Kluyveromyces lactis: one gene and its partner. The protein of the gene in region 1 purifies or fractionates together with the protein of each later gene. This does not show direct contact. Links are inferred from orthologs where the notes say so. Each region holds a gene or a part of one and is shown on either strand. Other genes may lie near its edges.

Region 1 (3,093 bases):
CTGAGCAAGAAAAGCATCTTGCAGGTGCCCTTGTTAATGTCTTAAATGGTGCTGGTCAACCTGTTCCTGAGGAGCTCAAGAAGTTCGGTACTCACACAAAGAAGAAGGAACATAGTGCGTACGGTGCATTCTTCAAGGATGTGGACCTATCAAAGAAACCAAAAAAGATTACATTTGATTAATTTAAATCCGTTATAAAGACAATTCTTGTATTTTTTAGCAATCACCCCCATTATGTACAGTAGTTCATTCAATACAGAGTAAATAAAAGTTTACAATTACTCTTGCATCGAAGTTTGTACAATGAATGTTCACGATAAAAATTGAAATTAAAGACGTATTAAATATGCGATATTCAAACAATGACTTTGAAAGGCAACGAAGAATGGTGTTGAAAGGGAAAGCATTAAAGTATAAAAGGGGATACTCTATCGAAGATCTTCTTGTACCTTCGCCTTTTATTTTACAGTATTAGTACAATGGAGCAGTGCATAATTTTTGAAATACAACTGAAGTGATAAACAAAAGGAAATTGAGAATCTAAAAGAACATCGAGTACCATCTACGGTGAAGAGTTTGCATCAGTTGAGTGTATTGGCGCATTTCACCCCAGCAGTCTCTACCAAAGTTACACCCAGCCATATTGACAACGAAGTCATGTTCCTTTTCGTTATAGAAATAGCGCAAGTCATACTTGAAATCTGCACAAGCACCTGGTGGGAAAGCATTGATCTGCCTTAGTGGTAGAAATGCGATCTTCTCTCTAATCCAAGGTTCGTTAGCATACAATGCTTCTAAAGCGTCTTGTTCACGATGTTCCCAGACCATATGTTTTTGTTCATATCCGACTGGGTCCCACCATATATCGAGAAGAAGCTCAGTCCATTCAGTGTTTCTCATTAGGAAAGAACCCAAATTAAAACCACCACAGTCCTGTGTAATTAACATATCTGACGGTTGTGAATAGTCAACATATGCCACATCGGTAGCTATATGCAAAGGATTGAAAGCTTCCAAAGTCTTGTTTGCGATTTCATCTAGTCTATCGAAGATATGTTCTTCCAAAGAAAGTTGGGGCTCCATGATAAGAGTTTCCACGTCTAACCACCAAAACCATTCAGCATTGGGGAATTCCCTCATAGTCTGTTTCATTATATCAACCTTTTGCCAGCCCTCTCTGTATTCATGGGAGTATCTCTTTGATAGTGCCTGATCTTTAATGACCAATCCGTAACCATGTCTTTTGGCGTATGCACGTTTGTTTTCGATAGAAATACGCTCGATAGCCCATTCTTGTTCCGATTTCCACTTTAAAACACCACCGCCACCACTATTGACAGCAACAATTATCACCACCTTGGGTTCAGCTGCAACAAGTGAGAAATCACTTAACCAAAATAATATGAAAAGTATGGAAAACAGCCATAGGACGTACCTCTTATATTTTGAAAATGACGACACGTAATTGGAATCCAAATTTAATGGCTTTTTCTCATCCAATTCGTATGAGTACTCATAAGGTGTACTCGAAGTCATTGATCCTATCTAGATTTTCTGACTGGTCTCTCGTTCACGTACAATATACAATAAATCGGATCAAGTTGGATGCCTCAGAAAAACAGCAAAACGCGATCAATAGTATTTTCTGCTCCAAGCAGTCACACTATATTTCCTTAACGTATTGAAGTACTAACGAAATCACTTAGATACACAAACAACAACCAGTAAATGATTGTTTTGTACTACTCTGGAGTTTATCTATAGAGAACATATATTTTTACTCTGTTGACATTACTTCAAATTCTTGCAACTCGCTTTAAAATGAAGAAATCCAAAACAAGAAAATGTTACCCGGTAGAAATGATAGAATCGCAATCTGTCTCTAGATACCGCGACAGCTTACCATAACACTTTGACTGGTACACTGATCGTGAGCATGGACCTCTGCACTATTCGTTGAGGAATACAATCGAATGACGACTACATATATGCGACTAAATGCTTGTAATTAATTATGCGAATGTATTTTTCCGCAAAACTTGGTGAAAGATCAATTCATTATGAATATGAGGATGGTCCTATCAAACAAAGACTATTCGCTGCGTTGCATTATCAGAAGTTAAACTCATTACGAAATTGCTGTAGATCCATGCCCGGCATGACTTTTTCTAGCAAATCTCTCCTATCCATGGCGACAAAGGAACGCTTTAAGGTCTCCAGAATATTGTTAGATTGCACGACTGATCCAGTAATTGGAACATTCTCTACTTCATGCATAGATAGAGCAGAGAGCAGAGACTCTGCAGCCTCTTTATAACAGCCAATATTCATTGACGAAATGGCCAAGTTATAACGAGCTCTCACAAAAGACGGTTTCAAGGCAAGGGCCTTGTGGTATGCCTGGATAGCTTCTTCGCTACGGTTTGAATTGGCCAAAGAGGCTCCCAAACGGTTCCACATTAATTCGTCATTTGGATTGACTTCTAATGCGGTGCGGAAACAGTCAATTGTCTTACCAAACTCTTCATTGGCATAGAAAAGCGTTCCCAAACCGAGCTGAACTTCTGGATCCACCTGAGGCAAGGCGTTAGCTACTTGCAAATACTTCGTGATTACTTGTTTGCTCAAATTAAACCTATCGATATTGGCCTCATCAATGGTAGGGGAGCGTGTTAACTCAGGGTACTTACTATCTAGCCATCTGTTGAGCATGCTGAAAGCGGTCAGATCATATCCCTCATTAATATAACTGATAGAAATTGTCATGAGTGCCTGCTGATTAGTGGGGTCTAGGCTTAAACATTGCTCAAGCGCACTAATACCATTCATTTCTTTTTCGTTTTGTGTTTGAACCAATCCAAGCTTTAACCATGCATCTACATGCGCGGGGTCTTCTTGCACAGCAGCTTCGAAAGCCAATGCAGCTTCACTTAGCTTCGCCCCATTTTCCATTAGGATACATCCAATTTCATAGGCATTTGGATTATGCATGTATTGGTTATCATTATCAAATCTGTAAGGTGGAATATGTGTTGCTTTACCAGTCATATAGCGAGCGTAATCTTTCTCCCATTGAGAATCACTTGTTTCCAA
Region 2 (3,268 bases), on another chromosome or scaffold:
AGCGCAGTCGATGTTAATATATATGCATACTCCAACAAGGACGGGTTGAAGTCTAAGATTTTGGATAAACTTGGTGGTAACCATGAGAATATTGAAATTGGTCATTTCATGAGAAATTATTTGGGCCTTGATTTGAAGAAAGTCACAGAGATGATCAAAAACACCACTCATACTCAGGAATTTGTATCTTCCGCTTCAGAGGAAAACTACTTTGAATACATTCCTTCATTCTTGAAAGAAATAGAAATCTAACTCCCTGTTAACATTTATAAAGGTTGGAAAAGACAAAACAATTGCATTCCGTTTCATTGCATAATCGTATGCGATCTGTCCCCATAGATATTGCACTATATCTCCTGCTCTTTGTTTCAAAACTAAACGTGGTAATTGAAGGTGTTATTTCGCTTATAATAATAGTACGCAGAAATATTAATAGTATTTTACATAATAGGTCTAAGTACATAAAGAGTAAAACCAATTAAAGATCAAGACGGTACCTTTTCCCGTTTAATTTAATTGAGGATTCGTTCTACGCAGTACGTTTGATGCTATGTTCTCCCTGAAAACTCATAGCGCTTATTCTTCAATATGGTATACCAAGTAGTTAGGTAGACCGAACACAGAATATCCCAATCTTTTTGCCATCTTAGCAAATGCTTCTGTCTCTATCAAGTGGTAGAATGGGAAGTTAGTGAACATGGCACCATCTCTGTGGACTTCAGCTTTCACTAAAGTACATCCACCTCCGACACCGTCAAGTTCCATTAATGAGTTGGTGGCACCGTTTGCGTCGTAGAAATGGGCCATCAATGGTCTATAAGTCGCAATTTCAGAGTACCCCTCCACGATAATCTCGTTATCTCCAAGTTGTTGGGCCAATTTCAAACCGATTTCGGATTCAGCCCAATTATTGAAATCGTAAGGTCTAATACTTTCCTTCTTTTGATCTTTGTCATAGAATTTTTGATACACATTAGCGGCAAGAACCGGTTTGTTATGGCTCGTTAGGTCTTGAATGACGGTGACTGGAGTTTCAACGATATCTGCATCCAACCATAGAATCCATGAAGTGTGCGGTCCAATGGTAGAGAACAGCAATTCGTTCCTAGCCAATGCCATAGCAGCACGTCTTTCCTTTTGTACTTCTAGTGCGTGTCTATCCTTTTCTCCTAGTCTGTCGAAAGACTGAGACGCTTGTCTCAAGATGGTTATCTTGGCAAATCTTTTATCCTGTTTACCTGTTTGAACCTCTCTTACTGCAGATTCTAATTTCTGTAAAGCAGCATCTCCAGACGCAGTTCTTGGAATAATAAATCCAAGCTCAATCAATGCTCTTGGGTAAGTCAAACTCAACAAATTATTCCAGTACTGTTGATGGAAAGTCTGCATTGGAGTCAAAATCAATACTCTTTCCTTGTTTACTAAGGCATTGCTGGTAGATTTCAACTTGTTCAAATCGTAATGGGCAATGTGACCTTCAGGAATCAAATCGTCAACTTTATCATTGAACAACCAACTGGAAACTTTCTTGTATGAATATTTTGGCATCTTGTACTTCTTTGTATATGGGAAATAAAATGTCTTCTCGGACTGATCTGCCCATTGATGGTTCATAATATCATCGCTCAATCCTAGTACGTTATTCCCACTGGAAAAAACTAATTGAAACACGCAAAATAGCACAAATATAGGTACCACGATGAAAAGAATCGGCGATTTCCTCACACGGTATGCGATCAAAGACATGGAAGCCATCTTTATGTTTATGTTTATGTTTATAAATTAATCAACCAAAACTATGATCTATAGCACTCAATTATCGGCTCAATTTCCTCCTTGATTAATTCTCCCAAAGATTAGACAGCGAAAGTGTCTATATTCAACAGAGCAAGACGCCAATCCGACCGTGTTTATCCTTCTTGAACTTCTAGTAAACTCGCCAAATTGATATTGAAATTACGGCTTTTCTTGTTTTAAGCTATTCGGAAGTTGAGAATTTTCGGCAGAGGGTAACTATACTATTCTATCTTGTTTCTCATATGTTTCTGTGTCCCATTTTGTTTCTTTCAGTGTGAATTTGGTCTTAAGGATTCGATTTCGCCGATTTGAAAGCACAAGTCACGTGGTTTTTTTTTTCTTAAGTAATTGCCGAAGAGCAACCTTTCGAATCACTGATTAATATCTTGGGACGCACATTGCTTGGCCGGGTGTATTGAATAGAGCACCAAATGAACCAAGACCTGTGCTAAGACCTTGGGTTAAGAGCTTGTCATAGCCTCTTCTCATGCACTCAGTGAATAAATTGGTATTCCAGGGTTTACTTGTGGTAATAGTGGGATATTTCTGTTGGACTGTGCATAAAGATGTGCAATGGCAGTTATTGGAACAGCAATGGGTGGATATGAAGAAAATCTCTCAGTGCAAACGATCTTATGTTGAGAATAGATGTAGTGAGGGAATACGGCCGGCTTTAGCTGGGAAATGTGATGAATGGTGGCATTGTGCGCAGCTGGACTCGCACCCCAGCGTTCATCAGATGGCCAATTTATATGCCAAGACACTTGCACACACGTTAAATTCGTTTATACAGGCACTTGCCTTCAAGACAATAATAGTACTGATGCTATTTGTATTGCTTATATCAATTTCTAGTAAACTACTTCAGTAGTTTCTCTGTGTACATATATATCACGTATAAAGAAGTTACTTGCGAAGATCTTTTCTCCATTGTTTGAACGAATTTGATAGTATCTCTTCTCCTTCCACCAGCTGCTTGTATTCTTCGTCGTCAGACTCAATTTCCGTGAGTTTTAGGTGATTGTTCTCAAAGATGAGTTTATAGGCTTTAATTGTGTCAATATCGTCTTCTGGTCTTGGAATACTTGTCAATAACCACTCTGTGAAGGCACCATACCATTTTATGGCATCTACACACACAGTTTGCATCTGTGGGTTGTTGTTCTTCAATATTAGCGGTACCTCAGATGTAGTGAACTCCTCTACAGTTTTGAGCATGAAATTGTCATCTCTAAACCCATATATAATTCTGTTTATTCCTACTAGGAAACACTGTAACCAGGTTTTAAACAACTTACGTTCGAATTTATGCGCATCGGAAACGGTATTGACCATTGTGGTACATTTCAACTCTGCGTAATGCTTCAGGTTGTCATCTGAATCCTCTTTAAAATCAAAAATACAGTCCACTTCTGCACCGATCAATATCTTACATTTACCTATTCCTGTTCTAACCATTGAGATGAATTGG

What was found. The genes of interacting proteins can lie anywhere in the genome.
Region 2: the proteins of MNN10 (region 1) and MNN9 purify together in Saccharomyces cerevisiae (affinity purification with mass spectrometry; 4 studies listed by BioGRID, with this or other methods). This does not show direct contact. The link is inferred for Kluyveromyces lactis from reciprocal best matches to the Saccharomyces cerevisiae genes MNN10 and MNN9.

The regions. Positions count from the first base shown.
Region 1 is NC_006039.1:1,342,290-1,345,382, reverse strand, and holds MNN10 (alpha-1,6-mannosyltransferase), read right to left. Parts: upstream 1,537-3,093; coding exon 541-1,536; downstream 1-540. Other genes in the region: RNA-dependent ATPase DBP3, read left to right, coding at 1-182; PEX5 (Pex5p), read right to left, coding at 2,113-3,093. UniProt on the Saccharomyces cerevisiae protein: Required for polarized growth and efficient budding. The M-Pol II complex possesses alpha-1,6-mannosyltransferase activity and is probably involved in the elongation of the mannan backbone of N-linked glycans on cell wall and periplasmic proteins.
Region 2 is NC_006041.1:1,137,706-1,140,973, forward strand, and holds MNN9 (mannosyltransferase complex subunit MNN9), read right to left. Parts: upstream 1,756-3,268; coding exon 577-1,755; downstream 1-576. Other genes in the region: alkaline phosphatase PHO8, read left to right, coding at 1-252; BRR6 (Brr6p), read left to right, coding at 2,285-2,668; RAI1 (decapping nuclease), read right to left, coding at 2,704-3,268. UniProt on the Saccharomyces cerevisiae protein: The M-Pol I and M-Pol II complexes possess alpha-1,6-mannosyltransferase activity and are probably involved in the elongation of the mannan backbone of N-linked glycans on cell wall and periplasmic proteins.